Linked DNA regions of Saccharomyces cerevisiae S288C. Changing the gene in region 1 together with any one later gene gives a genetic interaction. Each region holds a gene or a part of one and is shown on either strand. Other genes may lie near its edges.

Region 1 (4,753 bases):
GAGGGGGTAGCAGAACTATTAAAAAACTGCGCGAAAAGATCACCTGGAGATAGATCCGGGAATGACATTGCTTCCGTATCGAAATTTGAGGATGAACTGAACGGCCCGGCTTGTTGGCGTTGCGCCTGCGCCTGCTGCTCTTGAATCAGGACTTCATCTGTGGTACCGTACTGGTCATACAAAGCTCTTAAACGATTGTCTTTAAGTATTTCGTATGCCTGGCATATCTCTTGAAACTTTCGCTTGGATTCTTCTGTATGATTGTTTTTATCAGGATGATATTTTAATGCAGCGTTCCTGTAAGCTTTCTTAATCTCAGATGTGGATGCAGCGGCAGTAACGTTCAAAGAGTCATATAAAGACGTGTTTTGTTGCATTCTCCGTTATCTTGTGTCCACTGGTAGCAAAAGAAAAATGTGTTTTACTTTATCGTAGGTACAGTACGGCTCGTGTTGTTTAGAGAAATAATCACTGTATCGTGAGGTTGGTTTATTACCGATATAAACTGTTTGATGAATGTTGAATACTATTATAATCTATTCCTATCAGTATATAAAAGCGTTCAAACGATTTCACATACTTGTGGGAACGAAGAACGCGTCATTACCTTTTTAGTCTACAGATTCGATGCTCCAGTCATTTTTTTCCTTTATTTTCCGTAATGTTCTAGAAGAAATCGAGCGGGGGAAAAAGATACATAGAAGGATAATGTGATTAAATAAAGTTTGATGTCTAAGGCTATGCAATGGCTATGCAATCCAGGGGGGGTTACCTACTTAAAAGGGGTCGCTACTAAGTATACTATCGTCTTGACTGTCGGGTATAATTATAGGATTGCTTTTGGTCTCACCTGCCATCTGGAAGAGACTTGAAGGAGTAGATAAAAGGGACATGTCTAAGTCGCTGGCGTTAGAAGAGCAGACAGAGCTTTCATTCGATGCTGAACCCGGAGAGCAAAGCAAAGTCAGGCGCAGTTGCGTCCTCTGTGTTATAACCAGCATTAAGTATTCTCTCCACAGTTCCAACAGCAGTTGCTCCTTTCTTGCATGCGATTTGGTGTTCAATTTTCCTCTTCTTTTTGGGTGGTACAACACACTAGGGGAAGTATTGGACCGCCCCACATTCTTGTTATAAACAGATCTTGTGGTTGGGGTCGTTGAATTCTGTTTAATTGTTTTCGTCGCCGTCGCAGGCATAGTCGTCGGGAGACTACCTGGTTGTGATTTGGGTAGTTTCCTACTTATGGAGCGGTTCCTTAGATACGGTGGACGACTACTGGTTGCATACATCTGGCTTCTTAAAAATGGGATAGGAGTTACCGCAGGGTCCCTGCTAGTGAGATTTCTGATAGCGTGTAAGTTTACCGGTTGCGAAGCCAGGACATTTGCAATATCCATTTGTTCCAGTTCTATATAGTTCAAAACGGATGTCAGCTCCTTCTTGCTCCTGAATCTTGACCGTACCTTTGCTTGCCTGTCTTCCCTGCGTATGGAGTGTTGCCTCTTCAAAAACCCTTTGTGAAAAATGAAATTATGATTCTTGCTGAACTTGGAGAGTTCATTTTTGCTGGTAAAGTCTGTTCTTCGTTGTGAAGTGTGTCGAATTGGCTTTGCGTTTATGGTAGGAGAGCGAGACCTCATCTTATAATTCGACCATTGCGTAAACTGTTCCATCACTTCAGTGCTTTCAACCTGGTCCGCTTTGCTTATGTTACGGTTCCTCAAGTGCGAAGCATCGTGGTACTCCATATATGGTTTGAAGCTGTCGTGTGTTATATGAGAGTCATCCGATATTTGCACTATAGGAATCTTGGTATCTGAATTTGAATTTGTGTTCGAATTTGTGTTCGAATTTGTGTTCGAGTTCGAGTTCGAGTTCGATGTAGAATCCACAAGCGCATGTATATAACCTGAAGTGGTAAACCCACCGGTACCCAGGGGAGGTGGGAACAAAGTCGGGGGATAAGACTGAGTCCCAATGCTAGTCTCGTATGTCTCCATTGTCTGTATGGTTGTATTTCAAGACGTATCTGCAAGAAAACTGATGTTTGCGAGTTAGGAACAGGGAAAAATACATGAATTAAGAAATACGAACGATCTTAACTATTTTCAACAGTACCTGAAACATGGATGTAAAAACGTAGAAGATACCCGAATAAAGTGGGGCGCACACCGGACTTGAAACCACTCCTCCTTTACCAAGCACTAATTTAAGCTAATCTAATTTAACGCAGTACATTTTGTATGCGCGGCAGCAGCTTAATACATTGCTGTCATTCACTAATGGAAAAAAAAAAAAAAAAAAAAAATCAAAATATAAAAATAAATATTAAGAACTTAAAAAGACAAACCAGCCATCGCGTGGCGCTAGCACATATATCTTACCCGACGGAGAGCCGGGTAAAGAAGTCGGGTAACCATTAAAATAAAAAATCAGCACACCATAGCACGATCTACGAGAAACGGAAAAGTGTTAGAGATCACATACTGCATACTTGGCAAGAAGAAGGTTCGTTTTTCCCTTCTGATACTGTAAAAGATTAGGTTGGTAGAAGAAATCTACATAGTAGAACTCACACCCCATACACACAAAAAAGGCAACAATGGACAAAATCAGAGAAAAGCTAAGCAACTTGAAGTTGGAAGCCGAATCATGGCAGGAGAAGTACGAGGAGTTGAAAGAGAAGAACAAGGACTTGGAGCAAGAGAACGTCGAAAAGGAGAATCAGATCAAGTCTTTAACCGTCAAAAACCAGCAATTGGAGGATGAGATCGAGAAGCTGGAAGCGGGACTTTCTGACTCTAAGCAAACAGAACAGGATAACGTTGAAAAAGAAAATCAGATCAAGTCCTTGACGGTGAAGAACCACCAATTGGAGGAAGAGATCGAGAAGTTGGAAGCAGAATTGGCTGAATCCAAGCAATTGTCCGAGGACTCTCACCACTTGCAGTCCAACAACGACAATTTCTCCAAGAAGAACCAGCAATTGGAAGAAGACTTGGAGGAAAGCGACACCAAGCTAAAGGAAACCACTGAGAAATTGAGAGAGTCCGACTTGAAGGCAGATCAATTGGAAAGAAGAGTAGCTGCCTTGGAAGAACAAAGAGAAGAATGGGAAAGAAAGAACGAGGAATTGACCGTCAAGTACGAAGACGCAAAGAAGGAACTGGACGAAATTGCTGCATCTCTGGAAAACTTGTGATCTACTTTTGTTTTTTGTTTTCTTTTTCTTTTCCCCAACACGCTGGTCTTTGTTCCTTGTTCTTGAGCAAATCAAACGCTCATGGGCAAACGAAACTAAAATAAGAACCATTTATACAAATACAATAGCTTAGACTATACATCTGTATACTTTTCCCTTGAAGATGTTTTTGTTCTTTACCGTTTGCGTGCTGATTTATGATGTTTTTACATTGGGCGTTATTACCCGAGCGGCGTTTTGTTCGTGGGACTCACACTTGTGCCTGCTCCCATGTTAAGTTTTGCACGGTTTATCACATGGACAAAGGCATTCTCATATTACACAGCTACATGTGATATATATCGGGCGTTTCCACGTGTACAAGAACCTGAAAAGTTTATCGGAAGACTAAGTTTTGGGTTGCCCACCGTCTGTGCATCTACGTGAACACACCAGGGTTTCTCATTTCTTTTTTCTTTAAGTTTTTTTTCTCTTCCCTTCCCTTCCTTTGGTCAAATAATCTTATTTGATTCTTCAGGGTTTTAAAAAACCAGATGACGTGGATACTAAGTACTGGTATGGGCCCTCATGAGGACAAGTATGCCAAGCATGAGCGAGCGACCTTTAAAAAGACGTACAGTTCTATGAAAACGCTGTCTTTGAATCATTTAACTGCCAAGCAGCATATGCTGATGGCCTTATGCAGGGACATATCCCTTTTACCGCCGTTAACTTACATCTTCACATCTCTGCGGAAGGCTTGGAGAGTCTCCATGCGCACCAGCATAACGCTTTACGAGCCACAATCACTAAGAGATGCGTTCACTTATTTCTGGCAAAAACTCAATAGCGCTTACGACAATAACTCATCATTTGAAGGAGCTTCGCAAAAGGCTGTGAATGGCGACGGTAAGGATTCACTCCTATTATCCGCACTCACTACAGCAAGAGCGTCTGAATATCTCCTTTGCTCACTTTGGTGCCTGGTGTCTTTATACCTCTCGTATGCCATTCTCGACTCTTTGATGGTCCGATGGATCGTCAAGTACTCTACTGTGGCCGCCATTTTAAGAATGTTTTCCATGTCATTGATCATTGTCACCTTAGAACTCCTTCTTTTGTCGTCTTTGTCTCCGGAACTCGACTATTTTTTGCATACATGGATACTCATTAGTTGTGTACTAACAGCAGTGTACATTTGGCAAAGTTATCTTACCTCGGATCTGAGGTATATCAGGAACCAGGAAGGCGAAGTACAAGAGGATACTAATGTTCCAGAAGAAACAGAAGACTATGAGGATGGTGAAGATGACGCTGATGAAGACTCACATGTTGTGGTAGCCGACGAAAGTACAGTAGATGTTCCTTCCAACGACAGTCTCTCCGATAACAGTGATGGCGGATTGTTTCCTGTTAACAGGCCCTCAGTCTCTCATTCACAAAGCCCTAAAAGACCCAAAAAATATCCAAAAAAAGCATTCAATTTTACCACTAAGCGAACGATAGATCTATATAAAATCACGGTTCTTTGTGTCGTCCCTGTGGGACTAGCTAGTTTTATCACCATGTTAG
Region 2 (5,769 bases), on another chromosome or scaffold:
AATGCATATTACTTCCCAGTTACGAAAACTCAGATCTGCTGATTTGTTGCTTGTTTACATCATCATTTGGAGGTTCAAGTCATGGAGAAAAGCAAAGTATTTTGAATTATACAAAACTTGCTTTAGATAAATTGAAGACCTTTAGAGAAGCAAAAGACAAAACTCGAACAAGTGAAGATTCAATCGGTGACTATTTAAACGGCCACATCAAATACCCAATAGGGGAATATAAATTGGAAATGCCACAGATAAATAGTGGCATATTCGGAGTCCCTTGGAAAGAGACAGAACGCGTGTTAGAAGAATTTAGTGGCGACATGAGTTTTACAGTATATCAGCTGTAATTGCCTTAGCCACGTAATATGTGCCTTTAAAGATAGAGAAATATTTATTTATTAAGTTTTAGTTCTAAGGTGTGTTAAAATACCTCTCAAATAAATAAGTTACACACAACCATATATCAACTTGTAAGTATCACAGTAAAAATATTTTCATACTGTCTATGCAACGAAGGAGTCACTTTCCTCCTTCCGATTGAGAATATCTTCCCTTTCAAATTCCCTCCATGTCCTCATTTTAATCTTTGAGTGATCAAATTCACCTTCATTCTCGTCTTGTGCCTTTTTATTACCTCCCGCAATAGTTCTCGTATCACCCCATGAGAAGTCATCAAATTTCCAGTACGCATATGAAGGTAGTACGAAATTCCAAATAGGCAAAGCACAAATATATACGCACATCCACCATAGGTACGACCATCTCGTAGCAGTTATAACAACAATTAAGCCGGGCAGACCAAGAATAATTGCCAGTAAAACTAAAGTGATTACGGGTGTAGGTTTTGATACAATGGCAAAAATAATGACATAAATAGTAAAGCAAATGGCTAACGGCAGTACCATAGTACCAATCAATTCAATACCAATCACAAATTGCATGGAAAAACAGAAAGTGCCACATAAGTCTCTGATTAGAACTAATTCAAAAAGGTTATGTACCGTAGAATTAATCCATCTTCGACGCTGGGAAAGTAAGACTTTGAATTTATCAGGGGCAATAGTTTTACAAGCAGCTTTTGGAACAAATACTTGCTTTCTCTTAGGGAAAGTCTTTAACATTAATGAAGATAAAAATCTATCTTCACCAAGTAATAATAAGTTCTTCTTATGCAAAGTGTTTGTAACATTATCCGAATATCTTTCAACAATATCTGGATTTGCCAATACAGGTACCCAATAACCATCTGAACCTTTAGGAGATTTTATACGATACATTGAGAAACATCCCGGCAAACAAGTTACCGAACCGAAGACAGATTCAAAAGCTTTAGCCTGATGATGCGAAATATAGTACTCAAACACTTGAATTGCAGTTACCCAAGATTGTGCCTTATTAGCGATCTTGGTCTCACCACAAAGACCCATAATCAAAGGATCTTTAACCATTTCAGCGACCATATGAGTTAAAGCATCGGGAAAGACTTTAGTATCAGCATCAACCATAAGTACCGTTTCGTAGAAGTCTGCCATTAGCCCCGTAATCTGCCAAATATTTTTTAAAAGCTGAAATTCCAATTGAGTCATTCTTTCATCAAATGTTATTTTTTCTAAAAAGGACATCAGAATAATTTGAGAATCACGCTTACCTCTGTTACCGGGTTTGGCGGCCCCCTGCTCTGCAGGAGTACCGCACTTCACAATTGTAATGATTGGGACACGTTGTTGATTTTCTGGTGGAATTGTAGAATCGTCATATTTGTAAAAACCCGCATATATCTTGGCCATATTGTGTCTTTTAGAGCCTGATGCCACTGCCACATAGGAGTAAGGTTTAACTTCATCAGGTGGGGTGACAAAGTCGTCCATCATTCCTAACGCTATCTCTGGAGTAGTCTTATCGTTGCCCGAGCCCTTAATTAAACCATCACAAACAACCATCAGTAGTTTATGGGAATTTGGATAATCTGTGGTAGAAAGAGAGTCTAAAGTGGTTCTTAAACCCTCTTCATCCTCAGAATAACAAGTAACAAAACAGATAGTATGAATCAATGGGAACCCGTATGGCATAAAATCCAGTGGTGGTTGTTGAACGATATCGGGATGTATAATCGTCGAATCAAGACTCTGAATCAGCGATGATCCTGGTACAGGAGAGGAAGTCGCTTTATTCCAAAACATCGAGGATGTAGGCAACAAAGTAGATGGATTACGGGAATGTACAGCTTTGTTTTCATTCGAGAGTTTCCAAGCATTTTGAGTGGTCATTGTTGTCATTCCTCTGTATGAACCAGAAGATTGTAGTGAACTGCTCATGGAGGTGTCTAGATCTATCACAGATTCGTTAAATTGAAACATTTTGGAGCTGTGTTTTTTCAGCAAGTCAAAGGTTGAAGCACGCTTGTGTCCCAACGACTTTTTTGAGTATTTCTTTGGCCTCAAATGAGGATCTACTTCCTTTAGAGGAGCTTTTGTTTGAATATTATTAGACCAATCCTCGATATCGTTTGTGTGTTTATCCATTGTTTTATTGTCCACGATATATGCACCTTGTTTCCTAGCTACAGTCCAACGGAAGTAGCAGGCAATTATGAATTTAATTATCACCACTGAAAGAATAAATACCAGAGAAACATACAAAACGACATCAGAGGCAATACAACCGACGGTTTTGGAGTCTACTTCACCAACTTTAATAATTTCGCTCAAACATCTCGCAATTTTTCTTTCATGCCCATTTGACAAAACCAACGAAAGATCATAACCTTGTAAATTTGAAGTCTTCAAGTCATCGAATACAACGGGATAGTCAACGTCATCCTTTTCCAACCAATCAAGAAGATCTAAATCCAAAACGTCGCCATTATAAACAATCAAGTTTCTAGAAGAGTTCTTTATACCATCCCAAGTGAAGTAAACATCAGCTTTCGACTTTAAACCGTAAAATGCGTCCCTATCTTCTTTAGACGTATGACAGTTCCATCCTGCGTAATTTTCAACTGTGAAGTTTGGCTTCGAAGAGCCATCTTGATTCTTTAACTTACAAGGAAAATACCATGCTAAATTATTATCATCGTCATGGGGAATGGAAGAATTACTCTTTGGAGTTATAAGGTTATGACAGTTACCATTCACATTTTGAAACAAGAACGAAGCATCTTTACCAGCATCTGACCAGGGCCCATAAAGGGTGTCTGAATCTACTTCAACGTCTTGTATACCGGAACGCGAGGAAGTATCCAATTCATAAGCCTTACCGTTAATTACGACAAATTCTGTTGATACTTCGTTGTTTTTCAAACGTAGTTTCGAACTACTACAAACGGTTTTAGTGAAACCAAAAGTCAGGAAAGCCACAATCGCACCAATGTACAAGATGACAGAAATTAAAGCAACCTTTTCTCTCCACGCCATTTGTCTTTCCTTCTTTGGCATCCCGCAGAAAGCAAGAATTGGAGCAGGTGCCCAAAACGTAATGAAATAACAGTACATCTGCCAAAATGACAATGTATCATTCGTTTCCTTTCTTAATGGTTTGATAGACTTATTTATGGGCTGCGTGGAGCTTTCTTCGAAATTGTCCACATCACCATCTTTATCAAATTCGTCTTCCGCAACACCTTCATCACTTATTTTAACGGAAGCCTTCTTGTCAGTAGTATTCATATCTTGTAAAAGATAGCTATCCGTTTCGCGGCCACTAAATTTGCTTCTCACTGAGCCTTTGGAGCGCAGGGAGCCACTCCGACGAGTTGCATTTGGGTTTACACCGGTACTTGATGGTAAAACATCCAGGTGATTCATCTGCTCCTGCGTTTTCTGCGCATAATAAAAATGTGGATTATCAGGATTGTTCAGTCGGCTTCTTTCGGGCCGCACTAAAGAGCCTTGTCTATGAGGTGCTCCTGAGCCGACACTGTGTCTTGACCTAAGTAGAGACTCTTCATCTTGATTAAGGTTCAGATAGTAGTCATCAGGATCATCTCCATTCAAGCCGGTCATTCTAATTTCTTTCCTGCGGATAGTCTAAACAGGACCTTTGAAGAAAATGGGACCTACACCAAAAATACTCGAGAACTTTGCAAATCGGTAAACGTTTATAACCGTCTACCAATGTGATTCTTCTAGCAGGATTTACTACAAGTCGAAATGTTGGTACTGAATGTAAATCTGAAACACAGGAAAGAATATTTTTGATTTCTATTTTTATGCTCTTATTTTCATTTTTGATTTTTTTTTTCGAGGTCTGCGCCAGCGCCAATAACGCGTTTTATCCAAATAGGCAGCCAAAGAGGGTCACCTATGCAGGTGCTGAATGCAATACAACTGCGGGCTAACTGTCCATCGACGCTATTGAATATGCTTCAAGAAATATCCAGTCTCATGCACATGTCAAATATGTGGGTGAGGGCGCAAATACAACGCACGATTATATATACATTTGTGGCTACGTAGTACGTGCGGAGATAGGCAGGTATTTGTTCAAGGATGTAAATAAGAACTACAATGCTTAGTTCTCGAATCCTAGAATGTGAGTAAATCTCACAAGCACCGCTTCTATAAATTTGTCTAGGGTAATTTGTAATCTTTTCCCATGCGGATTCTCTTAAATACGGTACAGCCGTCGCTGCTGCGGTGTGATTCTGGTTTCATAGATCTGGAAAAAGAAAGCGAGACACAATACAAGAGCTTTGTGACACAGCGTACGGAGAGAATAAGATAAAGAACAGTTCCTGGCGTTTTTAATTGAACTTTTGTACTCGTCTCTTTATTCTCACGAATTTTTTTACCGCCGTTTTCATTTCCATTGCAAAGGAGGGAAAATATAAATGTTTTTATAGAGGCAGTATATCTTTAATTTCATAGCATATGCAGTTTAGAAAAAAGACGTAAATTCGTTGCCCTAGTCACGCTGGTTACATAAATTGGTCGTTGAATTGACTTTTAAGACATCCAGTTGGTGTGTTTGCTCCAAATAGTGCTGACGCATCTTGCCAATTCTCGTCAATTTAGCACGGAATGCTTGTTACTTATTCGATAACGCTTTTACCTTGATTGCATGTAGTCACTATCCTCAAACCTTTTCTAAGGTTGCCCTATTGGCGACAGAAAAGCAGGACGAGAAATCTAAATAACCAACGTGTGGTTTATTAACTATGACGGTTGGTTTGCTTGCCGCCCCAAGTTATAGAAGACTGCCCTTCATCCCGGGGTAGCTATCATAGAATCTGTCGATAGTTACAATTTTGGGTGGGGTGTTTTCAAAAATGGACGGATATGCCGGTCTTTGAAACTTCGATGATGTAGCCTATTGTTTTAATTTTCTGCTTGATCCTTTCGCTCTTTTTAGGGATAAAAAAGAAAACCTAACAAAGTATGAATTTCGAGAAGTCCCATCGATAGTAGTCAAACAATTGCTAAAGAGGGCTACGGATCGTCTACAATACCTTCGTAAAACAGCAGCTTACAGGATCTTTTATAATATCACCATAGAAAGGGGAATTTGGGAAGCGAGAGTAAAATGTTGAATAGTTCAAGAAAATATGCTTGTCGTTCCCTATTCAGACAAGCGAACGTCTCAATAAAAGGACTCTTTTATAATGGAGGCGCATATCGAAGAGGGTTTTCAACGGGATGTTGTTTGAGGAGTGATAACAAGGAAAGCCCAAGTGCAAGACAACCACTAGATAGGCTACAACTAGGTGATGAAATCAATGAACCAGAGCCTATTAGAACCAGGTTTTTTCAATTTTCCAGATGGAAGGCCACCATT

Evidence for each region. A genetic interaction does not mean that the proteins touch.
Region 2: mutations in TPM1 (region 1) and CHS3 impair growth when combined (synthetic growth defect), as found in Saccharomyces cerevisiae (4 studies listed by BioGRID, with this or other methods).

What each region holds. Positions count from the first base shown.
Region 1 is NC_001146.8:477,015-481,767, reverse strand, and holds TPM1 (tropomyosin TPM1), read left to right. Parts: upstream 1-2,602; coding exon 2,603-3,202; downstream 3,203-4,753. Other genes in the region: APJ1 (Apj1p), read right to left, coding at 1-377; NIS1 (Nis1p), read right to left, coding at 777-2,000; EOS1 (Eos1p), read left to right, coding at 3,736-4,753.
Region 2 is NC_001134.8:283,928-289,696, forward strand, and holds CHS3 (chitin synthase CHS3), read right to left. Parts: upstream 3,999-5,769; coding exon 501-3,998; downstream 1-500. Other genes in the region: POA1 (ADP-ribose 1''-phosphate phosphatase), read left to right, coding at 1-344; putative thioredoxin peroxidase SCO2, read left to right, coding at 5,518-5,769. UniProt on the Saccharomyces cerevisiae protein: Polymerizes chitin, a structural polymer of the cell wall and septum, by transferring the sugar moiety of UDP-GlcNAc to the non-reducing end of the growing chitin polymer.